Tamandua tetradactyla: one gene and its partners. The protein of the gene in region 2 interacts with the protein of the main gene of each other region in a pairwise test. Links are inferred from orthologs where the notes say so. Each region holds a gene or a part of one and is shown on either strand. Other genes may lie near its edges.

The links.
Region 1: the proteins of EEF1A1 (region 2) and GADD45G interact in a two-hybrid assay, tested with the Homo sapiens proteins (2 studies listed by BioGRID and IntAct). The link is inferred for Tamandua tetradactyla from reciprocal best matches to the Homo sapiens genes EEF1A1 and GADD45G.
Region 3: the proteins of EEF1A1 (region 2) and HSPE1 interact in a two-hybrid assay, tested with the Homo sapiens proteins (2 studies listed by BioGRID and IntAct, with this or other methods). The link is inferred for Tamandua tetradactyla from reciprocal best matches to the Homo sapiens genes EEF1A1 and HSPE1.
Region 4: the proteins of EEF1A1 (region 2) and LAMTOR5 interact in a two-hybrid assay, tested with the Homo sapiens proteins (2 studies listed by BioGRID and IntAct). The link is inferred for Tamandua tetradactyla from reciprocal best matches to the Homo sapiens genes EEF1A1 and LAMTOR5.

The regions. Positions count from the first base shown.
Region 1 is NC_135328.1:10,009,371-10,016,347, forward strand, and holds GADD45G (growth arrest and DNA damage-inducible protein GADD45 gamma), read right to left. Parts: upstream 2,206-6,977; 5' UTR 2,083-2,205; coding exon 2,030-2,082; intron 1,941-2,029; coding exon 1,839-1,940; intron 1,734-1,838; coding exon 1,520-1,733; intron 1,423-1,519; coding exon 1,312-1,422; 3' UTR 775-1,311; downstream 1-774. UniProt on the Homo sapiens protein: Involved in the regulation of growth and apoptosis. Mediates activation of stress-responsive MTK1/MEKK4 MAPKKK.
Region 2 is NC_135331.1:129,525,615-129,532,936, forward strand, and holds the start of EEF1A1 (elongation factor 1-alpha 1), read right to left. Parts: upstream 3,100-7,322; 5' UTR 3,077-3,099; intron 2,073-3,076; 5' UTR 2,038-2,072; coding exon 1,894-2,037; intron 1,643-1,893; coding exon 1,463-1,642; intron 1,284-1,462; coding exon 987-1,283; intron 909-986; coding exon 758-908; intron 673-757; coding exon 416-672; intron 338-415; coding exon 103-337; intron 8-102; coding exon 1-7. UniProt on the Homo sapiens protein: Translation elongation factor that catalyzes the GTP-dependent binding of aminoacyl-tRNA (aa-tRNA) to the A-site of ribosomes during the elongation phase of protein synthesis.
Region 3 is NC_135329.1:171,755,885-171,763,337, reverse strand, and holds HSPE1 (10 kDa heat shock protein, mitochondrial), read right to left. Parts: upstream 2,976-7,453; 5' UTR 2,683-2,975; coding exon 2,680-2,682; intron 2,027-2,679; coding exon 1,862-2,026; intron 1,140-1,861; coding exon 1,050-1,139; intron 969-1,049; coding exon 918-968; 3' UTR 735-917; downstream 1-734. Other genes in the region: HSPD1 (60 kDa heat shock protein, mitochondrial), read left to right, coding at 4,241-4,414, 5,591-5,843. UniProt on the Homo sapiens protein: Co-chaperonin implicated in mitochondrial protein import and macromolecular assembly. Together with Hsp60, facilitates the correct folding of imported proteins.
Region 4 is NC_135337.1:12,521,042-12,528,869, forward strand, and holds the start of LAMTOR5 (ragulator complex protein LAMTOR5), read left to right. Parts: upstream 1-4,607; 5' UTR 4,608-4,711; coding exon 4,712-4,746; intron 4,747-5,614; coding exon 5,615-5,676; intron 5,677-7,553; coding exon 7,554-7,671; intron 7,672-7,828. UniProt on the Homo sapiens protein: As part of the Ragulator complex it is involved in amino acid sensing and activation of mTORC1, a signaling complex promoting cell growth in response to growth factors, energy levels, and amino acids.

The DNA of each region.
Region 1 (6,977 bases), on a different chromosome or scaffold from region 2:
TCCTCTAAATCATTAAATAGGAGTGTGAATAGTGGCAGTCCCCTAACTCTGATGTAGGAAGAGAAAACTCAAAATAGTAGGCAGCAGATGCTAACCCCACTCAAATCTACTCACAACTCTTTGTGCAGATGCTCCCTCCCAGTTTCGGCTCAGATCTTTTAGAGTTCCATCACAGTCATGACAGAATGATGGCTCAGAATTAAACCTAGTCATCAAGTGTCATATCTGATATTAATACCTTTGTAACATTACCTGTAAGCACAGCCCCTTTGTTATCAGTTTTTATGAGAGGAGTTCCTGAGGGCATTGTCTGCCACCAGTCCTGCAGGGACCTCCAGGGGCAGTGCCTGCAGAAGGCAAGGCTCATTGTGCAGGAACACCCTGTCTGCATCCTGCAAGCTGTTGCAATAGCAGCTGTGGGAAGGAGGGGGAGGTGGGGGAGGGGAAGGAGAGTGGAGAGAGGGAGAGGTCACTGTTATCGGCTTGAATGGCCACCCTTAAGCTACTGCCCTGGAGCCTTATCTGCAGTATGCTTCTGTCTGGCAAGTTTTTAAATCTTCCCAAAATAGGAGAAACAGGAACAGGGCTTCCAGTTCTACCCAAAGCCTGGGCCAGCTTCCTAGGACTACCTGTCATCTGTGCCCAACAGGAAGATAAGAGCAGGTGCCATCCAGTTCCAGGTTTCAGCAAGTCATCTGAAAGACCCGGCCAGCTCCCTCCCCACCTCAGCAAGCACACCCCCACCCCCACCCCGCTTCAATAAAGAGAATTAAGTTGGTTTCAATACGTTTATTGTCAAACTCAAAGCTCCAGCAGCAGCATCCTTTAAAAAAAAATAATAACTGCCCCTGATTCTTTTGCAAAAAAGCTGTGCGAGTCTACTAAATTCGCCGCCGTTCCTGTAACTGTATGAAGTCCACAGCCTCGCCTTTCCCCTCGATTCTGCTGAACGCAGGCTGCTGCTGAGTCACCCAAGTCCTGCCAGCCAGTCTTGCCTTCCCAGCCGCCTGCAGCCAACGTCCCCAGCCCTCCGGCCTTCCTGGGAGAGCAGCAGCTCCCGGACACTTGCAAAGTCCCTCAGCTCCGGGGCGAGCCTGGCCCTCGCCGCCGTCGCCCGCCGCTGCCGGCCGCCCACCTTGGGAACAGCCCCGCGCGACTCCGCGTCCCGCTCCAAGCGCCACCGCCTGCCAAGTCTCCACGACTCATTCCGGCTCCCTCCGAGGGCTTAATCCACAGAACCGGCCACGCGCTCGGCGCCCTGGCGCAATCGCGCCGCGTTGATCAGACTAAGGTCTCCGCGGCCCCGCGCCGTCACTCGGGGAGGGTGATACTGGGCACCCAGTCGTTGACGCTGCGGCTCTCCTCGCAGAACAGGCTGAGCTTCTCCAAGGCGGGGTCTTTCCACGCATCCTCGTTGGGGTTCTGCGGGGAGACGGACGGAGAGGTGAGCCTGGCTGCGGCCAGCGTCCCCGGGGCCGGAGTCGGGGCTGGGCCAGGCGACAGCGGGGCAAGCACTCACCGAGATGAGGATGCAGTGCAGGTCGCCCGGCGCGCCTGCCTCGTCGCCGGCTCCCACGATCGCCGCCAGCCGCTGCACGTCGCCGACGCGCACGATGTCGATGTCGTTCTCGCAGCAGAACGCCTGGATCAGCGTGAAGTGGATCTGCAGCGCGATGTCGCCCTCGTCCTCCTCGTCGGCGGCCAACACGCAGAAGGTCACGTTGTCGGGGTCCCTGCGAGGGCGGACAGAGGCGAGGTCAGGGCCCGCGGCGCGCGCCCCGGAACTCCCCGCGCCGCCCGCGCTCAGGTCCCCCGGCCGGCGCCGCGTCTCTACTCACACATTCAGGACTTTGGCGGACTCGTAGACGCCGGCGGTGAGGCAGCCCTGGCGCTGCGCCGACAGCAGCAGCTCGTGCAGTGCTTTCCCCGCGCTCTGCATCCTGCGGGCGAGGGGGGCGCGTGAGCCAGGCTCCATCCCTCTTCCCGGATCCCGCAGCCCCCAAGACGCCCGGTCCCAGCGCCAACTCACCTGGAGGTGCTTTCCGGAACCGTCTCCTGGCCGCGGACTTCTTCAAGAGTCATGGTTCGCCAGGCGATCAGCAAGTTATCCACAAAGGCTGATGGAGCAGAAAGGGGACGCGGGAGCAGACAGGGGAAGAGCTCGCAGCTACCCGGCCCGGGAAGTCTACAACCAGCGAATGAGGCATGGGGGGGGCCCACCGCGCGCCCTTATATAGACCAGCCGGGAGCGCTAGATGCGCGCCGATTGGTCGGCGCGGGCTTTCTGATGCAAATGAGGCGCGGGCTGGCCCGGCTCGTGCCAGAAGGCCACGTGGGGAGGGGTGCGGGGGATTACAATGCCCCAAATCTGCCGCTTTTGTCAGGGTGTTACCAGGCAGACTGGAGCCTGCAGATTTCTTCTCGCCTTTTTTTTTTTACAGTCCTTAAAAGGAAAAGGGGAAGAAAAAAATAATAAAAAGCCTCGTTTGCTAATATGATGCTGCAAATTTGTGCAATTGGTGAATTGCACCTTTGACGAATTTAAATAAAAACCAATTTGGCATTCGCTCTGATTGCTACCGTTCTGTTTTTTTCTCTGTACTTTTCAACTGAAGTTTATTAAGACTGTGGCCTGCAAACCAGAAATTAAGGTTAAAAAAGAAAAAAACAAAAATACCGTGCAGTCCTGGTTTTCAGCTTGCAGCAAGCAGGGAACCCAAGCCCTTTCCCGCTCACACGAGCTGCCCCTGGAGTGAGAGGTCGGTCCGCGCCAGGCCGATTGGACCCCTGGATGCGGACTGCGGCTGGAAATCCTGTGCAAGGCCCGTGGCGGCCGGGCCTGGAGGGGACCCCGGGGTGGGGGGCGGGGAGGGCAAGCAGATTGCGGCCGGCACACGCGCGGCTCGTTTGCATTTCTATGGAGGGTGCACAATAGCGGAGGGCTGGCGTGTGGCGCTTTGGAGTTGGGACAATCCATGCTTTCTCTTCATAGCAACACTGTCCACCTGCCGCCGGGTGGGGCTGGGCAGGGCCCCGTCGGCTCGTGGGGGTCACCGGGCTGTGGGCGCGGGGGTCGGGGCCTCGTGCTGCTGCTCCTCGTCCGCCTCCTCCTGCCTGGGGCGTCACCGTGTGCACGCCGCCCGTTGCCCCGGGCGCACCCCGCAGGCGGTCATCCCCTCTGCACCCTGCGGGGACATTGCAATGTAAGGCCCCTCGAGCCGGTCACTGCACGCGTGCACTCGTGCAGCCATGCGAGTTTGAAGGAAAACATTTCCATGGAAAAGGGCCCCCACAGGGCTGCCGCGGAGTGCGCGGCGGCCAGCCCCCGGCAGCCCAGCCTGCCGGGGCGCGCGCCGGGGAGGAGTTTCGAGAACGCGGCTCCGGAATCCTGTTCCCGCGGCGCCATCTCCAGGGGGCCAGAAAGGCCTTGAACCCTCGTCCTTGCAGCGCCCTCTCCTGGGGGGGACGTCCTTTCCTCTCCCCCTCCACACAGCTTTGGGGCCGGGCCTGGCAGGGAATCAGGGCAAGGCTGCAAACCCCACGCAAGCGGGGTGGCCCCGGGCTGTGGCGTGCTAAAGGAGACTCCCACTCCTGTATTGATGGAATAAGAGCCCCTATTGCTAATATGACTTTGGAATTTTTAATAATCGAAAAATACAAACACAAAAAGCTTGTTTTCAGTAATGAAAAAAAAAAAACTAGAAGACAGCTCGAGCGACTGTTAATGGAAAGTGCTGTTCTTGGAGCACTTCTGATCTGTAGCCTGCAGAGCCGCCCAGGACCCGGGCCGAGCGCAGGCACCTGCGCAGCGCCTCCTCGCAAAGGCAGGGGAAGAAAATGGGTTTGGAAAATCCGGAGACTTTGATTTTTAGTGCTGATCACCTACCTTAAAAAAAAAAACCAGGCTCTCTCCAGAAGGTTGGTGGATATTCAGTGTCCCTCTGAACTTCAGAAGGGAAGTTTTTATTCTCCTGAACTTGGAGCAGGCTGTGCACGATTCTGGGCACGAAAAGCGCCGAGAGCCGTAGCTGGCGGCCTTGCGCCCCCTAGGGGTTTGAAGGCGAAATGCGGCGAGAGCCGGCCGCTTGCTTCCTAGAAGCTCAGAAGCAAGTGTTTGCTAAATGTCTGCAATAGGGAGGTGTCTTACAGTGACAGTGGGCCAGGTACTATTGTGCCGTGTTTACGCGCTAGCATTTTCCTCCTTCCCTCCCTGCCTCCCTTTCTTCCTTTCTAATTTGGTGGTATATAAAATGATGATGTGCCTTGATTTAGTTAAAAAAAAAAGTTAATTGTTAAGGGACTGAGATTTAAGTCTTGTTCTTCAAAAAATATTAAGCATTTCTTAACGTATATTAGTTCCAGGTTCCCAGGAAATTTTTGGAAATAAGACTTCGGCATTTTCACATTCCACCACCAACTCTCTGTGCCCGCCCCCCAAAACTTACAGTAACACTAGAAAGCTCCCCCTTACTAAATATGTTGAAGTGGCAAGGCCAGGGAAAACAGGAGGCAGGCCTGCAGCCCCTCATCCCCTCCTCACTGAGGAAGGCTGCTGGCAGGGGGGTGTTGGGGGAGCATCTCCAGGCCCCACCCAGCCAGCTTAGAAATCAGAGGAGTGGTGGAAAGTCCTCGGGGCGAGTCCACTTGGCTCCTGAGTTTAAGGTAGCCAATTTCAGGAGAGCCTCCTTTCTATTCTGAAGGTTAGAGTGGCCCCAAAGCCCCCAGCCCAATTAGGAAAGAAACATTTTATCTGCAGACAGCTCCCCCTTGCCCAGACGGGTGGCTGCCCACAGTTCTGACAGATGCAGACGCTGCTCCTGTACCCTGTTTTCTGTTGGGGAGGGGGAGGGTGGAGGCAGAGCCAGTGGTAGCTGTGGTTCTGCGTTCTCCCCACCCACATTGAGTAAGTAATGCAGCCTGTTTGGAGCCTCAAGTCATGGGAGGCTGTGAACCTGCCCACCAGACTACCTGGGACTGCACCCCTAAACCTTCCCCGGAACCCTAACAGTGCAGTGTGTTGCCTTATTAAAGGGGAACCTTCTAAGATGCTTCCCTTTAAAACCCTTTGGAAATGTTTACGTCTCTATTAACAAATCATTTGAAATGCACTTCTCAGTCAGTCCCACGGCCTGATGGAGAGACACCTTTCATTTGGCTATGGAAATAAGTGGATGTCCAGTAAGCCATAAGCTGCTTTATGGGATATTTCCTGGTAGAATTTCCCAAACGATTTACTTTTGCATAATGCATGAACACTGTCATCAAATAGCAGGTTCATTCCCTCTATGCCATCCAAACACTGTGCCAACATCCCACCACCACCCCACAGAAGCTGCAGATCCCAAATGGGCTTCAGGAGAACAAATCCTGACTGCAGCTAGGGTTCCTCTGGACTGCGGAATGTCCTAGGAAAAGTTGAATCCATCGCTGCATTTCAAAACCATCAGCTTTCACATAAAAATCTGGATTTCCTGCTACTCTTGGAAAATGGGAAGATTTGGCTCCCACGTGCCTGCAGATCCCCCACAGTTAACCCTCAGCGGGAAGGGCAGCTCTGGACAGCTCTCCTCAGACCCCAGCCCCCAACCCCCAACCCCAATAAACCCCAATCTCCATGTGACCTGCCAGGCCCCTGGAGGAATTTGCATTCGCAGCCTCTGAACAGAAACTGGAGGCTTGGAACACAAAACAACGGAGCAGAGAAGCCCGATTCCGAAATGGGCTAAGCATCATTTGTGTCTGTGATCCCGCAGGATCCCTGCACTCTCAGCGGAGGGGTCTAGACTTGCTCCTCCCCAAACTTCCCCTGTCCCTCCCGAGTTTCAGGAAGAGTGCTGTTTTTCCCCAAACTCCAGGCCGGTGAAGCAGACAGTGACCTGTCGATGGTGATGCTACTTAAGGCAGAGGAGAAACCACCGTTTTGCGCATGGCCTACTCCTGAAGCCCGGAGGCATCTCCAGTGCATCCTTGATGTCTAAAGGTCCCAGCCGCCAGCCTCCTTCGCCCGCCACCCCAGGCAGGGTGAAGCAAGGAGTCAGGGACTGGGGGAGGCGCAGATGGGGCTGAGACAGGAAACAGGAAACGCTGAGAGAGGGAAATCCCCACAGAGCAGCACCAGACATCTGTGGCCAGTCTGCCCCGAGCAGGGAGGGAGCTTTCATGCAGGAGGGGCTGTTCATGGGAGAGCAATTGCACTGCCCAAGAGGCGGGTCCCATTAGCTCAGGGAGATCCTTGAAACGGATGAGGACAGGAAACGGCATCAATCATTCATGCTCTGGGGACTTTTTCCATCAATAGTTCGAAATGGTTTGTGTAACCCATTTCACCACTGCAGATGGACAACAAATGTCCCACCGGTGATGAAAATACCCCTCCAGCTCTGGCTGTAGCCAAAAGCACCAAGAAGCCACAGATGTGCCCGTGGGCCCAGCTTTTACCCTGGAGCCAAGCCTTGTGAGCGCCGATTCTCCACCAAGGAACTGAAGATGCTTTCCTTTGTCCCACGATGTCTCTTTCTAGGGATTTTCCGAAGGTCACAAGTGGCCACCACCTACAGCCCATAGATGGGTTTGTAAGGAGGGCGGCATTCCAAAAGACCCACAGATGCAGGGCCGTGTGGCTCCTTCCTGCAGGGCAGAGTGGGAGCCGTGCATTCCCCACGGCGCCACCACCTACAGCCCATAGATGGGTTTGTAAGGAGGGCGGCATTCCAAAAGACTCACAGATGCAGGGCCGTGTGGCTCCTTCCTGCAGGGCAGAGTGGGAGCCGTGCATTCCCCACGGCGCCCCAGATGTCTCTGAAGTGTCACATCAGTCCCCTCGGCACATCTGCACCCCTTCCCCAACCTAGTTCCTGCAGGCATCTGAGTTTGGGGTAAATTTGCTTTCCTGAAGCATCTTGATCTTCAGAATCCAGATTACTTGAATCTTAGAACCACGAGACTTCCAAGCCCAAAGCTTGCCCTCATGCATTGTG
Region 2 (7,322 bases):
AAACGACCTGTTAAAATAAAGTTCATTATTATTGTGAGAAACAGTTCAAATTTTCATCTTTGATAGAATTTTTTTTCATTAAATTTCTGAAACCATCCTTACCCAGAGGAGGATAGTCAGAGAAACTCTCAACACACATGGGCTTGCCAGGAACCATATCAACGATGGCAGCATCACCAGACTTGAGGAATTTGGGACCATCTTCCAACTTCTTGCCAGAACGGCGATCAATCTTCTCCTTCAGCTCGGCAAACTTGCAAGCAATATGAGCTGTGTGACAATCCAGCACAGGTGCATAGCCAGCACTGATTTGACCTGGATGGTTCAGGATAATCACCTTTAAAAAAAGTTTAATTTAGTGAGTCTCAGGCTCTGCAACAATTAAGAAAACGTAGCAATTAAACTGTGTTGTTACCTGAGCAGTGAAGCCAGCTGCTTCCATTGGTGGGTCATTTTTGCTGTCACCAGCCACATTGCCACGACGAACATCTTTTACAGACACGTTCTTGACATTGAAGCCCACATTGTCCCCAGGAAGAGCTTCACTCAAAGCTTCATGGTGCATTTCAACAGACTTGACTTCAGTTGTAACGTTTACTGGAGCAAAGGTGACCACCATGCCTGGTTTGAGAACACCAGTCTCCACTCGGCCCACAGGCACAGTACCAATACCTAGATACAAAGTATTATCAACATCTTATGTGAAAACTATATTCTGGGTACCCCCCCCTTAAGTTACATCTTAAATTCAGCTTACCACCAATTTTGTAGACATCCTGAAGAGGCAGACGCAAGGGCTTGTCAGTTGGACGAGTGGGTGGCAGGATGCAATCCAGAGCTTCAAGCAGCGTGGTTCCACTGGCATTGCCATCCTTACGGGTGACTTTCCATCCCTTGAACCAAGGCATCTAAGAACAAGAAACTACCAATTACTGACATCAAAAGACACTCCAAAGCTTTTTAACAATTCTCAAAAAGTCACTTACATTAGCACTTGGCTCCAGCATGTTGTCACCATTCCAACCAGAAATTGGCACAAATGCTACTGTGTCAGGGTTATAGCCAATTTTCTTAATGTAGGTGCTGACTTCTTTAACAATTTCCTCGTATCTCTTCTGACTGTAAGGTGGTTCGGTGGAATCCATTTTGTTAACACCAACTATTAGTTGTTTCACACCCAGCGTGTAAGCCAGAAGGGCATGCTCTCGTGTCTGCCCGTTCTTAGATATACCAGCTTCAAATTCACCAACACCAGCAGCAACAATCAGGACAGCACAGTCAGCCTGAGAAAAGTCATATCCTGTTAAATCAAAGTTCTCCTCAAAGTTATCAAGCTGAATTTAGATGCTACAGAAGTGTTCAGAACAAATCAAGGCCTTGCATTATTGAAAGCTTTCATTAAACTGAACCCTGAAAGAGATTCTAAACGCAGTTATGTTTCCAAGTTATTAAATTTACAAACCTGAGATGTGCCTGTAATCATGTTTTTAATAAAGTCTCTGTGTCCTGGGGCATCAATGATGGTCACATAGTACTTGCTGGTCTCAAACTTCCACAGGGAGATATCAATGGTGATACCACGCTCACGTTCAGCTTTTAGTTTATCCAAGACCCAGGCATACTTGAAGGACCCCTTTCCCATCTGTAATAGAAGAATGGTTACTTGTTAACTCAAACAGTATCAAACCCCATCTTGAAATTCCACTTTATAAACTGCAAACCCTTGGAGGTCTTAGTTTAATTTCCAAAAATAGCTACAAAGCTAAGAGCCTCGCAGAAAGTCTTTGCTGATCATTTAGAAAAATGTACTAACTGGTCAACCTTTTAGAAGGTACCTTATGTTTCAGCTAGTCAACTTTAGCATTCTCCCTTAACCATCTTTCCCTTTAGTACCTCAGCAGCCTCCTTTTCAAATTTTTCAATGGTTCTTTTGTCGATTCCACCACATTTGTAGATCAGATGGCCAGTTGTGGTGGACTTGCCCGAATCTACGTGTCCAATAACGACAATGTTGATATGAGTCTTTTCCTTTCCCATTTTGGCTTAAGATGTAGTGATGGCTTTCACGACACCTAAATGGGGGGTGGGGGCGGGAGAAAAACACCTCTTAACCACCATCCGAGAAACTTAAGCCGCGATGGAAACTAAAAGGGCAAACTCCAAGGAGAACTACCTTCCAATTGCCAACCTGGCCTAACTAGTCTCCACCCACCAATGTGGTGACTCCATTGCAGAAAATCCCCTCCCCCCAAGCTGAGGAAACCTTCCTCCGGAGCGGTAGGGGCCACAATCGAAATGACATGACTATGCCCCACTGCTCCGTAGGATCACAGGAAGCAGCGTCTGACAATGAAAAAAGGCCCTTTTTCTTTGTGTGGGTGACTCACCCGCCCGCTCTGCCGACCCGCCGCGTCCTCCATTTTGAGCTCACTACAGCACGGCCGAGGAGCCGCCATCTTTCCGAGCACGCAACTGGTGCCGAGCAAAAACCGACCTCACTTCTCCGGGGGGTGTGGGGGGGGGCGGGCAGACTGGGCACCGGAGCCGCTGGGCCAACCCCATTATCTCACCCCTCGCCCATCCGGTGGCCGCGCCCCGAGGAGCCCGCCTCGGCTGGCCGAGGCCGCGCCGGACATGTGCGCGGGACAACTGGATTCCACCACCCTCCACGCCTCGCGGCAGTCACACAACCCGAGGAACCCGACGACGCGCCCGATAAAGCCTTACTCTTGCCGAGGTCCTGCCCCAACAACGACTAAACTACCTCAATGAGAATATACCCCAACTGCTTATTTAAGTCAAGTGGCCGAGGCGTAACGAGAAAGACGCGAATGAGCGGCCAGATTCGCGCGCGGCAGCCCGGGCGCCTAAGCCAGGCCTCACCTGAAGCAATAAAAAGGGCTCCTGAGAAAATCCAAGGCCTCGAATTCTCCCACCTTCTTCCTCTTACAACCCGAAATTCGGGGTCAAGAACCCCGCAAATGTGGGTCGACAGAGACATAAGTAACAAAAAGCACGCGACAGCTGCCAGCTGTTCAAGGAGGCCCGGCCCAAGGGAGCCACACCCAGCACTTACCTGTGTTCTGGCGGCAAACCCGTTGCGAAAAAGAACGTTCGGGGCGACTGCGGCACTTATATACGGTCCTCCCCCACCCTCGGGAAAAGGGGTGGAGTCAAACACGACACCGCTTCCCAGTTCACCCCGCGCCTCCTCCACCAGGCACCGGTTCAATTGCCGTCCCCTCCCCCACCTCTCTTCTCGGGGACCGTGGGCGATGTGCGTTCATCCAACCAAAGAACACACAGAGTCTGGCGCATGCTCCTCTGGACCCCGACGACGACGAGAAGACAGTGGGTGGGGGGCGGGGACACACAGATCCCTCTGTTCTAGGATAGTGGGAGTTTTACGACGGCCCCTGGGATTCCCTAAAGCAGAGGCGAATCCGCCTTTTGTATGAATTACTCTCGCTCCGGCTGGAGGGTGGGGAGCTGGGCGGCCGGGAGTGGCCGTCCAGAATTTTTCTTTTGCCAGTCCTGGTTTAATCGCAAACGCGGTATCGAGGTTGGAAAATCCCCTTACCCCACATTCTGCTTCCCCTCTTCGATTTTGCCCTCTCGCAGGTCGTAGACAATCCCCAGGAACCGCTTCCTCCGCTGGCTTCATCCCTACCGGGGCTGGCTCTTCCTCCACCGCTGTCCTTCACGCCCCTCCGGTTTGGAAAGGGATCCAACCGAAGCCAGCAGACCCCGGGGTCGCCTTTCCAGCCCCTACCATCTGTAAGGGGTTCAACTCGATGACCGTGGCTCGACGAATCTGTTCTTGGGCACGCAGGCCTCTTGGCTCGTTCCATTCAAAGCCAGCTGCGTTTATCAAAGCCGTCACACGTTCATCCCCTCCCCCTCCGTGTTAATGCCAGACGTCCAATTTTTCGGTTTAGAATAGACCTCGTTTCTTCTAACTCTTTTCCTTTGGCTAACGGGTCACACGCGAGTGCGTATGTGCGTGTATCCTTGTGGTACATTTTCCCAGTGTACTCATTAGACTGCAAACGTGAGAAATGTAAGAAGAATCTTTCAGTCTTTCCACATGATCTCATGTGGTGATAGAAATCTACCAAGACAGCATCGCCAAGCGTATACACCCAGTCTCCTATCCACAACTGGATTTGTGATTTTTTTTAAATCACCGCTTTTCAAAAATTCAAAAATGGCCTATGCCATTTAGGTAAATGGCTTCATTTTCTGTCGTATTGACTAACTGCAGTTTAGCAAATATCAAGGGCGAGATTGGATAAGATTCGACCTTTTTGCCTATCAAGTTAGTCCCTGCGAAGTGCTCTGAGGTAAAACAAAACAACAAAAAACACCTATATTTTTAATGAGCTAATTACTGGATCATTATGTCTCTTCTTCCAAGTATAGAACATCACTGCCCAACTTCTCAGAACTTAAGTATTGTATTCGAGTGGCAATAATTGTCCAGGACTAAGCAAAGGACAGTGAAGTATGCAAAAGAAATATCACATTCTAGAGAGGAACCTATAATCAAGTTGGAAGAGGAAAACTAAGATAAAACGATTGGGAAGCAATTAAACACAAGCTCGTATGTTGCTTACTTTCTAGTTCATGGTAGAATATGGTTCTAATCCTAGGGTTTAGTTATATCTCAGAATTTATTTTTTAATGAACGGTCTTCTAAAATAGCCTTCCTATATCTTTGTAGATAAAACTTTCTAAAATCAGGTTTCTCTATTTTTTCATTGGAATGTTTCTTGTTTCATTTGAGATAAGTTTAATAAAAGAAACTAGGCACAAAGTTTCACTAGCAATAAAGATAGCTAGTATTCTCTATCCACAAAAGCCTTGTCTATAATGCCTGTATTTCTGGCTTCTTGCCTTTCAAAAATTGTTTTTTCACATTGCATTTTCCTAGTGCCCATATCACATATCTTGACAACATAGTCCCTGTTTATAATAAGAAAATGATGTACCAATGAAAATCCATTACCAGCAAAAGAACAACATAAGAATCTCTGCTTTCTTGTTTATTTCCTTGGAAGTGTTCATTAATGACTGTTCTCTATGGAACTAGATTCCCACAGTCAGCCATAGTGGTATGTAACTGTAATACTGACTGCACACTTATTTCAGATAAAGATTAGAGCACCACATAAGATTTATTTTCCGTGCCCCCTTAAGCAGTGTATGCTTCAACTGGTTTAGACTTATATACGCTTGGAGATAATATAGGGGCACATAAAATATTTTAACAGGACTTTAAAAGGAATGGCAAACTTTTGGGAATATAAAAAAAATGGTTATTTAGTGATGAGGAAAGAAATCAAAGACTAAAGAAAAACTGATAGTTGAATATTTGAAAGTTTTTACATGGAATCCAAAACTGTAGCTATCTCAGGAAGAAATAAGTCAAAATGAAAGTGGATATTGGTAAAAGGGAAAGTATCAAAGATAATTTGTTAAGTAAATTAAGGTGAGGAGTGAAACATACATAGATCACTGAAAATGGCATTATAAATATATGTGCTTTTATACAATCCTAAAATTGTAATAACTGGAGATACATATGCTTTCAGTTGAATTGTTTGAACATATGGATCTGCTATAATTTAAGTAGTATTCTTCACATATATGTAGATATGTTTGTGTGTGTATTCAGCAACATACTGGGCACTGTGGAATTCTTGAAAAGATGACCAACAGCAAGAGCTTATAAAAATCACAGTTCCCCTGATTGAAATCCCACCTTTTCACCCTTTCCTAGTATGCCAATCTTAGTTTCCATTAGTTTAAAAAAACAAAAAATTAGCACTTCAAATATAAAGTAACAGAATGACACAAAGATGTTTCTTTGTGAATAATGGCATCCAGCTTCTAATTATGCTGAGATAAAGGAAAAAGGAAGTGCGAATCCAAAGCTATCTCAGAATATAAGCACTTCATAAACAAATATCTTAAAGGATATGCTTTTAAAATGGCACCTAAGGAAAAGGAAAATTATACACAAATCCTTGATTCATATCCAAGTAACCTACTTTCCAGCACCGTCTGGGTGCTCTTATTAATGTTGCCATACTGGTTTCGATTTTGGCGGAGGGAATGGAGAACTCAGTTCTTGTGCCGAAGAACCTTCGAAGCCATCGGAGCCGTATTACCGTGTATTTGGGGTAGACACTAACTAACCCGACGCCTTTTCTCAGGGCAGAGTTCACATTTCTGCTCTGGGCGGGGACCCGGCTCTTCTCCAGCGCTTGGACAGCTGTGGACCCGGCGGGTCCTGCCGTGAGTAACCGGGCGCCTCCTACACTCGGGCTCCGGTCTCCAGAGAGCGGACATAGCTGGGTCCGCCCACCGGCACGCCCCCAGCTTGAGTCAGTTTCTTCAGTTCTCAGACTCCGGAAGGAAGGGCCGGGAAGGACGCACAAGGGCCCACGTGCCTCGGCTTGAGAGTAGGATTTTGTTACCGTGGCAGGTCTCGGAAAGATTGGAGCAAGTGTTATTTAAAACAAAACAACAAAAAACTTTTTCCGGGGCCCTAATGTTTCACTAACGTAGTGATAGCCCTCTTCCCCCCCCCCCCCCCCGCGGCTTTACAGCAGCTAAGTACGCCTTTTATTAACTTAATTGTTAAAATGGTAATAGTAACACGATGGAGACTTAATTGTGGGGGGAGGGGCATATTCTAAAACTGTATTTTACGATTTTCTTTAAACTTGATCATGCCGTTTAGATTGGCCAAGTTAAAATATATTGTAACTAAGCATCTGTATAACCTCTTTTAGGAAGAAAAATAGAAGAATTCATCTATTTACTTAGTAAACGGATGAAGAGTAATACTTCTTTGGTATATATAATTGTGCTTCAACAAACAAGCATCCTTCAATGTTGGCCAATCACACTGCTATTGGGCCTAATTTAAATTGTAAGGGAAGCTTACACTCCCACTCATATAAGGAAGTATGGAAGCCCCTTTTTTTAAATCTAGACCTAACCTGGCTCACATTCCCCCGAAATTACGTCATCATATGATACTGAAGGATTAAGTTTACTAGAAAATGATAGGTGTTTAGAGCATAAAGCTTATTCAATTGATCCCCTCTAGATAAGCGCAGTCAGATATGCAAATTAAGCAGTCAACCCACCCTAATCTGTGATTGGTTAAAAACGGAATGAATAATTATGATAATAAGGAGTAGAAAACTCACCTATACTTTGCTAGTTTCCGAGACTACATTGTAGCTACTGAGTAACCAGCCACTGGTGAAGGGTGGTGGTGGGGGGAAGGGACTTCTCTGTGTTAGGAA
Region 3 (7,453 bases), on a different chromosome or scaffold from region 2:
AATACCTAGCTCTGAGGATGACTAAATTGTGACACACACACCCTACCCCCAAAGGCATGATCAGGTCCTAATCCCTAGTCTTATGGGTGTGAACCCACTTTTTTTTATAAGTAGGAACTTTGAATCAGCATGAATCTTTATCCAGTACATCTGAAATCCTCATAAGCAAAGGAAATGACAAAGAAAGAAACCCAGGATACAGCCAGAAACTTAAGTCAAGGGAACCCAGAGGAGAAAGGTGCCACTGTATGCATTACCACATGACAGAAAAGGAACCCCAAGGTTGCCAGCCTGCTAGAAGATACCCACCCAGGGAGGAAGCAAACCATCTAGACATGTAGACAGCACATTGTATGGTAATTGTTTCAGCAGCTAGGAGACTAAAACAGGTCGGTTGAAAGATTAGCAATATTTTGCCTTGGATTTTCCCCTCATTATGAAATAGTCTTGAAAACCGGAAATGCTTATGTCAGGAACTACATTTTTCTACCATGAATGAAGAACTCTACTTGACCACTATAAACTGATTGTTTGAAAGGCAAAATATGGCTACTTGATTTTTCAATTCTTAAACTGCAGGTAAGTGTAAACCCTTGACTTTGTACCAGCATAGATCATTTATGTAATAAAGCTAAAATCAATGTGAATATACATCAACATACAAACCTCATTTCCCAAAATTATCTGTGGGTTACTTTAGAGAACTCACTAAATAAATAAATACACACTAGGCATTCATTTATATATTTTTATTTGGAAATGTTTCTATCAGTACAGTGAAATTAAATTTAAGAGACATTGGATTACCATTAGTTTATTATAAAAGAGAGAGATGAAAATTATTTACATGATGGAAGATTTCAGAACTTCGGTGGAATGGGGAGCGTCACATGATGCCATTTCAATACTGAGCTATTTCACTCTACATACTTCCCAAGAATATCAGCATCTCTAAATAAGAAATAATCCTGCAAACAGAAAAATCATTAAGTTAAGACAGTTAACAGCAAATATTTAACCTCTTTTAAAAGTTACTTTATGTTACACACCTTGTCACCTAGAACTACTTTGGTGCCTCCATATTCTGGGAGAAGAACTTTATCTCCAACCTTCACACTAACTGGTTGAATCTCTCCACCCTAAACAGAAGGACATTTATGAGCAAAGACATGGAGTTCAGCAAACATTTACGCTTTAAATTAATCACATGTTCACTCAAATCAAATGCTAAAAATGCATTTAATGGCCAAGTGATATAATGAAGTGGCTTAAGTCATAAATATTAAGTGTAGAGTTATAATTTGAAATAAACCTTACAGTAGCTTAAACTAAATTAAATTGGGAGAGCTAGCTTTAGCAATTAAAGATAACTTTATAATTGCCAAATACTGTACTATGTTAGTAGCCTATGGGCTGCCAAATGAAACAGTTTTTATAACCATATGCAGCAAAACGATCAATTACAACATACAAAAGTTTAAAAGAACTTTTCTATATTTAGAATATACAATCCTTTTTTGTTATTCTACTTCCTCTCTTCGAATATTATATATTCAGTAAAAGGGACTAAAGCAGAGAGTACCCAGAACCTCCCTACTCCTAACTCCAGACAGTTCTTTGCAAGTAACTTCTAAGAGTTAACCAGAACATCGCATTTAACTTATTTGACCCAAAAGACATTTACTGTGTGTATTGTGGCTGACAGGTCTGAAGTTGAGCCAGAAAACTGAAAAATATCTGAAAGGATAATCCAACCCGTTCCTTTCATAAGGTAAGCCAACTGTGGCCCCAAGGCGTTAAAATAGTACGGCAATTCCAATGTTAGTCAGCAAAAATTAATGCACTTTCAACCCTCATTTACCTTTCCTTTAGATCCCGATCCAACAGCTACTACTGTTCCTTGCAATACTTTTCCTTGAGATTTTTCTGGAAGCATAATGCCTCCTTTGCTTACAGTTTCGGCCGCACACCTTTCAACCAATACTCGGTCCAAGAGGGGAAGAAACTTTCTAAATGCCTGTCCCGCCTGCAGGGAAAAAAAATTTAAACTTGCGGCAGAAACTATACGTAATTATATTCTGAACAAACAAAACCACAGTAACCATTGCATCTCAAACAGGAACCACAGTTTTAAAAGATTAACACCATAATTCACATTCTTAATTCGAGAACACATTTGAGTGTTCGGGCCTACATTCTACGTTAATTCCCCATTCTCTATATAATTAAAGGTCGCTGTTGCTCCTTTGGCCAGATTGGCATTAAAAAGCAACCTTGTTACTCCAAGGTCAGATATTTTCCTTATTTATATTTTTCTAGAAATGCTCAGGCCATGGAGTAAACCCTCCTTCTAAGACCACGCTCTTTTTCCAAGGGTTTACACACCCGCAAAGGCCCCGCAGGAAAAGTCAGCCGCCGCACGTGCGTCCCCGTTCCCGCCCCCTGTACCGCACGCGTGTCGCACCAGGACACTCATGCGAAGAGCCCACGGAGGAAGAAAAGGTCGGCGGATCCTTCGCTCTCGACCCTAGTCTTGGGCACCGTGACAGTCCAGGGTGCAAGCGAGGGAAGGACACCGAATGACCCCTACCCCTCTGGCCAGAGCCCAAGCCACGGTACTGGCTACCGAGCTCTTCGAACCGACCGGGACCACAGAACTCCAGCCTACGCGGGACCCACCATGGCTCCGGTTGCCTTAACTCGTACTCTGCTCCCGCGCCACCACCGCCGCAAGGAGAGGAACCACGGCCCGACCCTAGGAATACGAGAACGTGGAGAAAAGATGTCCAACGCGCAAGCGCGCTCGGCCTCCGACGCCCCGTCCTGCGAGAGAGGGCGGGCGCACAACGCGGGCCGTGATTCGTCCGAGAATGCTGCGCAGGTCGCTGACGCGCGGACAGGAGGGCAGAAGAAAAGAGGAGCTATTTCTAGGCTTTTCTAGGCTGCCTGCCGAGGTAAAAGAATTATCCCTTCGCCCCTCCCGGAAATGACGCAATTTAACCCTTGACCCGCGCGGAGAGCGCGGCGCTTTCCGGAAAGTTCTGGAACGCTGTTTGGCCTGGGAACAAGCCTAAGCCGGCTCGAGAGGGCTGAGCCCCCTGATCTGGCTTTAGCGGGTAGGGATGGGCGGGGCCCACGTATAGCGCGTGCTGATTGCAGGGCCTCCGCCGGGCTAGGGGGCGGGAGCCGGCTGCACATGCGGTGCTGCGGAGCGGGAGGGGCGCGGAGGGAGGGGACACGGGCTCATTGCCGTGTGCGTTCTGCGTTCTGTCCCTCACTCGCCGCTGACGGCCTGCCTCTCCGTCTGCCCGCCCGGCCTTTGCCCCGCAGGTATCCTGCCGGCCCGTGCCGCCTCATCTTGCCGACTCTGGTTTCTTAGCCAGGCTTTTACGGCTGCGGCCCGGCCTGAGTCAGGTGTTGGGAAAGAGCAAGGGCTTCCCGATGGCGCTGCAGGCCCAGGCCTGCTAGGCCAGGCCACGAGGGCCCATGCGGGATCCCATCACGTGGGGCATGGAGTGCGGGACTCCAGGGAGGGCCTAGTTGGCGGGTGGAATTTAGGGAGTTTTAGTTTCGTGGGCCCTCGGTGCAACTCGCTTTGGGTTAACTGCAACGCGCGGGAGAGGGTGGTCGTAGCCGCGTGGAAATCGCTTTTTGCCTCGCGGTCAGCATGGGTACAGCGTCTACACCCTTGACCTTGCTGGGGGCGTCCTGATGAGAGACGTGGGGCCGCGCGGGGTGGGATGGACTGTCTGCCCCCAGCATCGCGGCCTTTTTGGTTCTCAGATACTGTAGCCTCGGGTGGATACATGGAGATACTTACGCTTGAGAGGTCCTTTGCCCTGCCAGGAATATTTTTCGCTTCCATGGTCACTTGGATTTGTAACCTGCCCTTCTCCTGCAGACTTTGTTTTCCAGGGGCTTATTTGGGGTGCATTTGCCTTCGGGGCAGTTTTAACGGTGAAAAGCGAGTTAGTTTTTAGGCATGTGTGGGTAGCTGTTCGGAATGAGATGAATGTGTTGTGCGCTGGTGGTATCGGTCGGACGTTGGGGCGGCTTCACCCTTTAAGCTAGTAGGTAGTGTGCTCTAACCGTGGCTCAGGCAGCATGGCTGGCGGGTGTCTTCCCAGCTCACACTTAATGTTTCATGTTTTATTGCACAGGTAGCGTGTTGTTTGCTGCAACACACTCATGTAGTGATGTAGTGTTAGTACTGATCATCTGCTTGTTTTCTCTCCTAGAAATGCTTCGATTACCCGCAGTCCTTCGCCAGATAAGGCCAGTGTCCAGGGCATTGGCTCCTCATCTCACTCGGGCTTATGCCAAAGATGTAAAATTTGGTGCAGATGCCCGAGCCTTAATGCTTCAAGGTGTAGACCTTTTAGCCGATGCTGTAGCCGTTACTATGGGGCCAAAGGTACCAGTGTTTTATTATAGTTATAACATTAATTAAGGAATAATGTTCTACTGATGGGAAGTCATGAAGTACTGAATACTTTGGTATTCGTTGAAAAAAATCTCACATATAAAAGTTCCAGTTTTTTGATGACTTTTTTTCTTAGCTAAAATGTCTTAAGCTCTTCAACCCAATTTTCAAAACTATATTTTGTGCAAATGTACAATGTAATGAAGTGTTAGCTCAGCTCAGTATTTTTCTTTTCGTTCGTTTTTTTTTTTTTGTGCTTGGGCAGGCACCGCGAATCGAACTTGGGTCTCCGTTCTCCCGCTTGGCAGGCGAGAATTCCCGCTGAGCCATCGTTGCACCGCCCCAGAGAACTAATCTTGCTTGCTAGCTTGAGTTAAATTTTGGATTTTCCCAGGAAGAATGCTAATTATAGAAAGAAGAGTGTAACTTTTCTACCATAATACCTCAAGTATACACTTACAGGGACTAGTTGTACCCAGTTTTTTCCTGCTGTTCCAAAGGGCATTTAAAATTCTAAATCTTGTTCACGCTGAAGTTATTGGTGAGTGCAGATAATAAGTGATTGCAGGTAGCCTTCATTTCATATTGAAGATAATTCAAATATTAAAGTGATCCAAACAACTGCATAAAATACGACACTTGCATTCCCCATGTAAAAGGAGCAGTTTTTACTGGCTTAAATCCAAAAGCTGCCAATCTTGTTGCATCATGCTTGAGGTTTAATATTGAAGAAACTTGGAAGAACACATTGCTCCTGGCTGACTCGGTATGTTAGTAATTAGATTTTGAAATGTCATCATTTTAAAAGATAGCAGTCACTAACTAAAACTAAGGTATAAATGTTTTGAAGAATACTATCATTGTTATCTACTAACTTGGTGTTGGTTATCCTGTACTTATTTGTTTTGAAAGATGACATCTGGTCCCTAGAATTATCTCCCATAGTACCTCATCCAAAGTTATGCACTTGACTGAGCAACAGAGAGGTCATTTTGTCTGTAAACTAAGAACATGGAGGAATTTGCCCTTGAGTTTCTTGCTATAGCCCTGTTAAAAATGATACAACTTATGTTGAGGCTTTCAAGTAGTTCCTGTATTATGAAACTGTTCATTGTCTAAGCCTCTGCAGTTTGTGATCCTCTCACCTTTTATTCTTTGCGATTTTAGGGAAGAACAGTGATTATTGAACAGAGTTGGGGAAGTCCCAAAGTAACAAAAGATGGTGTGACCGTTGCAAAGTCAATTGACTTGAAGGATAAATATAAAAATATTGGTGCTAAACTTGTTCAAGATGTTGCAAATAACACAAACGAAGAGGCTGGGGATGGTACCACCACTGCTACTGTCCTGGCACGCTCTATTGCCAAGGAGGGCTTTGAGAAGATTAGTAAAGGTGCTAATCCAGTGGAAATCAGGAGAGGTAAGAAAATTACAGTGTTTTGAACTTAGTTTTCATAAGAAAACATTGATTCCCTGTCCCTGCACATAAAATGTTTTTTAAATTGTTTAATGAAGTTGATTCATTAAAACCTTAAACTGAGCTTACTTTCAGCAAATAGTGATTGAATGCTTGGCTGTGTAGTGAATACTGCTAGGTTTTAAGGAGGAAAATGTAAATAAGAAGTTCTTTCCTGTCCTGCCCCCTGACTCCTGCCATAGAGCAAGCATTTATTGGGAGATACAGTACCTACCCTGTACCTTGAAAATAGTAGTAAACTTGTGGGGTTCAGAGAGACAGATGATACAGTTTTGATGTAATTCCATTTTAGTTGTATTGAAGGTCGGGCTAAACCAGAAGCTCCATTCAGGAGATCAGAAAGCAGTGTCTTCCTCAAATTTTGTGGCAGTTTTTCCTTACCTCTTAACAGCACATACCATGTTAATATTGGTTTCTCTATCTCAGTGGTGTAGGCCTAGGTGAATGCTCTGCATTAAAAGTTTGGGACTGTAAATCACTCGCAAACATTAATTGATGCTATTAAGAGTACTTGTCAATTAGAGTCATTGTTACTACACGTTGGATATTTTTTCTTGAAGTAACATTTCTCAAAATAAGGGAAGGATGAGAGAAAGAAAGAGTTAGTACTAGTCCTAGTTGAGCAAAACATGATAGTTGGCTTGTGGTTCTTACAAATCCATGTTGTAGTTCTGTTGACTGATAACATTTTGTCAGTTCATTATTATAAAGTGAGGATATTTCTCACATTTAAAACCTGCAGTGATGTTATCCCAGAAATTCTTTATGGCCAAGATCTTTGTTTCTTGTTGAAAATAAGAGACTGTTAATCCATTTTGGTCCTTTTGTGTATTTAATTGAAGAGTGTTTCCTGATAGGTGACCCTATTAGAAAAGGGCAACAGGAAGGGAGGATAAGGGGTAAAATAACTTGAGTAGATGGAAATACTAGTGGTCAATGAGAGGGAGGGGTATGGGGTACGGTATGTATGAGTTCTTTTTTTATTTTTCTGGAGTGATGCAGATTTTCCAAGAAATGATCATGGTGATGAAGACACAACTATGATAATTGTGAGCCATTGATTGTATACCATGTATGGAATGTGTATTTGTGAAGCTCTATGAATAAAAATATTTTAAAGAGGGCAACATGAATGGATTGGGAATAATTATGTAGAATGAGGTTAAAAGTTGAGATTCTGGGCGGGCCACTGTGGCTCAGCAGGCAAGAATGCTTGCCTGCCATGCCCGAGGACCCAGGTTCAATTCCTGGTCCCTGCCCATGTAAAATAAAAAAAAATTAAAAAAAAAAAAAGTTGAGATTCTTGGAACTATCCATATCACCCTAAAACTGAACTAAGGAAGTTCAATTTTCAAAATAACTTTGGTGTTGTGGGACTTCGTTTGTTCACTGTATAAATATAAAGTTCCCGTTTCAGGGCATGTCATCTACTCCATGAGATGGGGAACAGTACAGGCACAGAAGTTAAGCATAGACAGTGCATTAATGCATTAAAAGACAGCACAGATCTCAAGATTTTTGAATTATCTACTTGACATGGAAGCCATGAAAGA
Region 4 (7,828 bases), on a different chromosome or scaffold from region 2:
ATCCTCGACCACCCAAGGGACCATGCCCTCTCTGCGGGAAAAAGGGACATTGGAAAAGTGACTGCCTCTTGGCACCCAGCTGTGAAGGGGCTGTCCTTCCAAACCCTGACCCACCGCTGGCAGTCCTGGGCCTGGCCACCGACGACTGACAACACCCAGACTCAGTGACTCCGATCACCCTCGCTGAGCCCAGGGTAACAATCAAGGTAGTGGGTAAGTCCACCTCCTTTTTAGTGGACACGGGGAATACCTTTTCTGCCCTCCCCTCCTACTCAGGTCAATTCCTTCCTTCCCAGGTCACGGTTATGGGCATAGACAGCTGTCCTTCGCACCCCTTAACTACTGGACCACTTACATGTTTAATAGAAGGGTACCCCATTACACACTTTTCTTGGTGATGCCTTCTTGCGCCAGCCCACTAATGGGGCAGGATCTTCTCACCAAGTTAGGGGCCTCACTTCACTGGATACAAAAACCCCAAACAAATTTACCATTACCCTTATGTGTGCTGTTCTAGTTTGCTAGCTGCTGGAATGCAATATACCAGAAACAGAATGGCTTTTACCAAGGGGAATTTAATGAGTTGCTAGTTTACAGTTCTAAGGCTGAGTAAATGTCCCAATTAAAACAAGTCTATAAAAATGTCCAATCAAAGACATCCAGGGAAAGATACCTTGGTTCAAGAAGGCCGATGAAGTTCAGGGTTTCTCTTTTAAGTGAGAAGGCACATGGCGAACACAGTCAGGGCTTCTCTCTTGGCTGGAGAGGCACATGGCGAGTACGGCGTCATCTGCTAGCTTTCTCTCCTGGCTTCCGGTTTCATGAAGCTCCCCGGGAGGTATTTTCCTTCTTCATCTCCAAAGGTTGCTGGCTTGTGGACTCTCGGCATCTCATGGCTACATCATTCTGCTCTCTCTAAATCTCTCATTCTCCAAAATATTTGCTCTTTTATAGGACTCCAATAAACCAATCAAGACCCACTCAAATGGGTGGAGACATGTCATCGCCTAATCTAATTTAACAACCACTCTTGACTAAATCACATCATCGGGGAGATGATCTCATTATAGTTTCAAACATACAGTATTAAATAGGAATCATCTACCTTTATGAAATGGGATTTATATTAAAACATGGCTTTTCTTAGGGAGCATACTTCCTTTCAAACCAGCACATGTGGCCTCCACCTCCACTCAGGGTTCCACCCCTCCCGCTCTTCCCCTACCACCTCACCTAGTAAACCCGGAAGTATGGAATACCTCAACTCCCCTGATAGCTTCCCATCATAAACCAGTTCTTATCTGACTAAAAGATCCATCCTCATTCCCATCTAGGCCACAATTTCCTATCTCCATAACCCATCAGAAAGGACTCCAACCCATCATTAACCGGCTCAAGGGAAAGGGACTCCTCATACCCACTAACTCGTCTTATAACACCCCCATCTTGCCTGTCAAGAAACCTGATGGTTCTTAACATCTAGTACAAGACCTCTGACTAACTAATGAGGCTGTCATCCCCATCCACCCAGTAGTTCCCAATTCATATACTCTTCTCTCACACATACCTCCTCATACTACTCGTTATTCTGTCCTGGACCTTAAAGATGCCTTCTTCTCAATCCCTCTAGACCCTGCCTGTTACAATTTATTTGCCTTTACCTGGCAAGACCCAGACTCTTCAGCGGCCCAACAACTTACATGGACGGTATTACCTCAGGGGTTTCACAATAGCCCCCATATCTTTAGCCAAGCTCTAGCCAGGGACCTAATAGAGTGCAATCAAACTCCCAGTTTCGTTCTCCAATATGTAGATGACCTATTAATTTGCAGCCCTTCTGAAAAAAACTTCCACAAAGCCTACAGCCACCCTGTTAAATTTTTTAGCTGACAAAGGATATCGAGTCTCCCCTGCCAAAGCTCAACTTTCCTCCTCCACTGTTACCTATCTGGGGCTCCGCCTCACTCCTACATCCCGACATCTAACAGTAGACAGCCAGCAAGCCCTTTGAGAACTCCAAAACCTCCAGAAAACATTGAACAAATTTTATCCTTCCTAGGTTTTGTGGGGTTCTTCTGACATCGGGTCCCCAGCTTTTCCCTCCTAGTGAAGCCTCTTTATAAGGCAGCCAAGGTGGCGCCCATGGGAACCCTAGATGACCCCTCTACTGTAGCCAAAACTTTCTCCATTCTCCATGATGCCTTACTTCAATCACCTCCACTTGCTCTTCCAAATCCTAACAAACCCTTCTTCCTTTTCACTGATGGAAAGCAAGGAATAGCGGTGGGAGTCTTAACCCAACCTCTGGGACCAACTTATAATCCAGTAGCCTATCTCTCTAAACAGATGGACCCCACTGCCTGTGGATGGCTTCCCTGTCTCCGAGCACTGGCTGCAGCTACTACCCTAATGCGTGAAGCTCTTAAACTTAGTCTGGGTAGGCCTCTCCAAGTCCTGTCGCCCCACCATCCACAAGACCTGTTATCCCATAAGTCTCTCTCTCTCTCTCTGCTCATTCCTTCCCGTCTCCAGGAATTTCATTTGTTCTTCCTAAAAAACTCAGATGTCACACTCTCTGCCTCACCAGCCTGTCTTACGTGGCTCCAAATCCTCCAACAAACCTTAAATTTCCTCAACCAAACACAAATACTCCCTAAAGTAACCCACTGTTACCTCTGTGCATCATTAAATAAGCCACTATTAGCAGCTGCCCCTATAAATCTAATCCAAATACATAATCATAACCCTGATTCCTGCCATACCACTCTAAAGAACACCCCCCGATGGGAACCAGAGCCTGAAAACCTTCCCTACCCCCTTAAAACCTGCTTCCTCACACACACACAACTGTAAATCAGACAAAACTTCATAATAAATGCCAAACTAACGTCACTATCCACAACACCACCCATCCGCCAAAGGACAATATTTCTGGTGTAATGGAACCCTTACCAAGTGCCTTAACTCCACTGCCCCGGGACCATGCTTCCTGGTAACTACTGTTCCTCAATTAACTCTCTATAGGGAGTCCGAACAAACTTGGTTACTGCCCTCTCCTCACTCCAAAAGGGCTGTCTTTCTTCCCATCCTGGTAGGCATCAGCCTAACTGCCTCAGTCGCAGCCTCAGCTGCAGTGGGAGGGGCACTGGGACATGGTTTTTTTTTTTTTTTTTATTAATTATTTAGATTAAACCAAGGTAACTTAACAGAACACTTTGAGACATGGTATTTCAACCTCTCAAAACTCTGAGACTCAACTACAGGTAGCCCTGGAATCAACATCAGAATCCCTTTCCTCTCTACAACGTCAACTTACCTCACTAGCCCAGGTAACTCTTCAAAATTGACCGACCTTAGACCTGCTAACCATCGAAAAAGGAGGAACGTGTGTATTCCTTCAAGAAGAATGCTGCTATTACGTCAACGAGTCAGGTCTGGTGGAACAAAATACTCACACCTTAAACAAACTAAAAGAGGATCTCTACCACAGAAAACAAGGAACCAGCTCTGCCTTAGACTGGTTTTCTTCCCCCCTGGTGACATGACTCCTCCCGCTAGTAGGACCAGTTATCCTAATCTGTCTCTTTTTTCTCCTAGCTCCCTGTCTCCTCAACCTCCTTCAGGGACGCATGAAGGAACTGTCCCAGCTAGCAGTCAACCAAATGCTCCTGCATCATTGCCACCGCCTACCCTCCTCACCTGATTCCTATAGCTAACCTACTCCCTCTCCTGACCATGACAACCCCAGCCCATCACCCCACGTCGCCCCAGCACAGCAGAAAGTAGCCAGAAGAACCTCAACGCCCTATTATCACAAAAAGGCTGGAATGTTAGGTTGGGGGAACCGTGAAGGGCACTGCAACTGGAGCTGCAGAGGCTGTGTCGCCCCTCCCAACATGGCTTCTGGAGCCACCCCTTCTGGACACCTGACTTCCGGAGAACCGCCCCTTCCGACGTCACCTGACCCGCTTGCATAAAAACTGCCCACGCCATCACCCATTTCAGACTCACCTTCCTCCATCTTGGATTCCGTGAGCTCTTCCCGGGAGCACAGAAATAAACCTGCCCACTTTAAATTTCCCGGTCTACCTTCCCTCTTCCTCAGCCTTTCGCCTCCTAAACCTTTCATTTTTAAATAGCCTTACCCAGTCTTCTTTAACAGTTAAGATTCATATGCCACTTTCTTCCCCAAAACTTTCCTGCACTCTCCTACCCCATGGAAGTACCCATGTCTTTGTCTCTGACACTTTACCAATTCAGTACCCAGCTGGGGGGTTTAACATGATGCCACCTCGCGCCTTAGTCCTTTGTGTGTATGTGTTTCTCCCTAAAAGCCTGTGGGCCCGTCATAGCGGTTCTGCGTCTCTTCTCCACATCTTTGATTAAAATCCAAAGGTTAAAAATCACTGAGACAAAGTGAAAGACCAGAAACCAAAGACAAAGAGGCCTGGCTGTCGACCCTCTCCGGGGTGGGAAATAACTCGCAATGCCGGCCTCCGCAGGGGAGCCCGGAGTGGGTGGAGCACTAAGGCTATCCAGGAGCGGCATGGCGTCTCCTGGTTACAAACGCGGAAGCTGCACCGCGATCTATTTTGATCCTTCAGAGCTGCCATCCAGTCTGCGTACCACTCATGCCACGTGACGGAGGAGCCCCTACGATCTGTGGCCGAGAAGTACGTGGTGCGCTGAGTGATCGCGGGCGGCCAGCGGAATGGAGGAGACTTTGGAGCAGCACTTGGAGGACACGTGAGTAGTGCAGACCTCTTCGGCTTGTGCTGAGGTCGCGGCGTTGAGGCTGAAGCGGAACAAAGGGCATGTGCTGCGAGTGCTACCCTGGCGTCTGGGAACACGGAACAACCTCCAAGGCGCGGATGTGACTGTGAGGCTTGCTCTGGGGCCGCAGGGCGGGGCCGTGACCCGGAATTAAAATCTCTCCGGGTTGCTTTGCACACTCCCTCCCGGAGCGAGTCTCCGGGATTCAAATCTGAGGCATACTACTCTGGTGTCGTTATTTCGGGCGTTTTAGGGAATGGGTTATGTTTTAGAAAGGATGTACCACGTGTGCAAAGTGGAACCCTGCATTGTAAACATAAGCAGACACACGTATCTCCTTCCATACGAACCAGCTACTTGGTGCTTAGGGGGATGATGGGTCATCCCTTATTTTTTTTAATGAATGATATTTTTGTAAGATCCGGATTGGGAAAGTTTAAGAAGGCATACAGGGAAATATACCTCACTCCCACCACTGTACTCCAGCCTCTCAATTCCCTTCCGGGAAACTCCTGTTACTTAGACTGTTCCAAAAATTGCTGTACTTGAGTTAGTATATTAAAGCTCGCATTGAGCAAAGGGAACCCTGGATATTACAATGTTTGTGACCCTCCAAAGGTAAATTATACCTGACAATCTTTTTGTTTTTGTTAGTGAGAATTAATTTAAGTTAATTGGTTTTATTTTTTCTAGAGGCGGGGAGGGATGATAATGAAAAAGGCGTTGAGAAACACTGATTTAAAGCACTTAACAACAGTGCCTGGCATGTATAAAGCCTTAATGTGTTATGGTAATTTAAGCCCATGTTCTCTCTTCATCCCGCCTCTATTTCTGGAACTAGAATGAAGAATCCATCAATTGTTGGCGTCCTGTGTACAGATTCACAAGGACTTAATCTGGGCTGTAAGTATCTTACACCAAACTTTTGGTGTGTTACAAGTATCTGATATTGACCTGGAGTCAAGTGTATTAATGCTATTCTCTAGCTTTTATTTCTTGCTGTCCTGCCACTTTGAATTGGTATTTAAGAAAGTAGGACCATTCCCTGCAGTTCTAGAATTAAAGCATTTGGCTCTACTAAAATAGTATTTGAATCATTTTAAATTGCATTTAGAAGGGACTTCAGGTAATGACAGTATTAACCCTTTATTGGATGTATGCCATATGCTGGAATTGTACTAGCCTTTATCTGCATTTTTTCTAGTTTTCACAGTAATCTTGGATGGTGCTATTTTTTTAGTCTAACATACACGTAACAATAAGTGAGTAAACAGTAAAATGTATTCTCTTTTAAATGTACAGCAGATTCAGAGCCAGAAACATCTGGGTTCAACCTCATGCTCTTCCATTTGCTAATAGTGTAAACTTAGACCACTTCTGGGCCTCAGTTTCCTTACTGAGTTGTTTAATAATTATACTAATAATAGAATTACATTTATTGAGCTCTTGGGCTATGTACCAGGCAGCATTGTAAGTGTTTTAGATATCATTCATTTAGTCTTCATAAAACCCTATGAGGAAGATAGCCGCTTTCCCAGTTTCCTTGAGGCAAAAAAGTCAGGTAACTTGCCCAAATTCACATAGCTAGCAAGTGGTTGAGTTAGGACTTGAATCTTTCTCCAAAACCTCTTAATTACAACACTATAAAATTATATCATATGTGTAAAACACTCAGCACAGAACCTAGACATAGTAATAAAGAGTCACAATTACAGATGAGGAAATAAATCCAGAAAGATAAATAACCAAAGCATTCAGTTAATGTCAGAACTAGGAAGTCCAGGACTCTTTACTTCTAACAAGAATTTTTTAAACTAAATTTCTTGCTGGAAGGATAACTGAAATGGGTAATATTTGTAATAGTTGTGTTCCTCACAGATTAGTCAGTTGGAAGAGAAAAGGCAGATTTTTCTAAAATGCTTGCCAGGCTCACTAATGGAAAGGCTGAAATTCAAGTATGGAAATTTAAAACTAAGTCAGTTTCTTCAAGAAAGCTTTAAGGCCTTAAAGGCTACACTGTGGCCAGTTAAAAGTAAAATCAGCAATAGTTAATCCATAAAAATGGTGCCATAGTTGCAAGACTGTTACCCAACTTAGGTGCAAGCACAATTTAGGCATATGTTACCTCAATGAAAACATAAAGTAAACTTAGTAATTACTTTATTTTCTTGGGACCCTAAATTATTTACCTACAGGCTAAAACAAACATTAATAAAGAGGCAGTTCTTTTGACATTTGAAAACAGCTAGCTTATTCTTGCCAAATTGATTGTTCACTGATTGTATTCACAGGTGCTGTCAAGATGGTCTTATGATTGAACTCCCAAGTTCAATTATATATCCTTTGAGGTTGAGCTCAGTGAAAAGAAATCAGATTTCCCAGGAGAAATTAATTAGTTTCACAAGTCTCTTGTCCTTACTGACTTCTTGTCAATCTCACCTCTGAATTTTTTTGTTTTCAGTAAGGTCCTAAAAAATGAATTTCTTTTAGATTGATTTGAATTATAGCTTTATATCGTTGGAAGGTGTTTCAAGATGGCAACGAAAATGACTTTGAAAACTGAGTGTTGTCCTCACATTGTTGATTTAAGAACTGTTGTCTTTCTCATCTAGTAGTTATAACCAGTTGATTATCAGGGCAAAAGCATTTCACGTCAGTACCTAACATAGGAGACAGTTAACTGAATCTTGTGTTTGTGAATAATTCAATGATAGCTCCTACTATAACTCCTTACTCATTTTTGGACAGTCAGGTGACATGATATCATCTCTGTCTTCTAGGCCGTGGGACTTTGTCAGATGAGCATGCTGGGGTGATATCAGTTCTAGCCCAGCAAGCAGCTAAGCTAACTTCTGACCCCACTGATATTCCAGTGGTATGTCTAGAATCAGATAATGGGTGAGTAGATGTCAGTAGATCCTTTCCTTTCCTTTTTGTACAGGAAGCTTCCTAGGAAAGTTGAATGAAGTCTGGTGGAGAGTGAGTCATGTCTCCCATGAAAGGCACATTCAGGTCCCAACCCCCGGTTCTGTGGATGTGCACCCATTAGTAAATA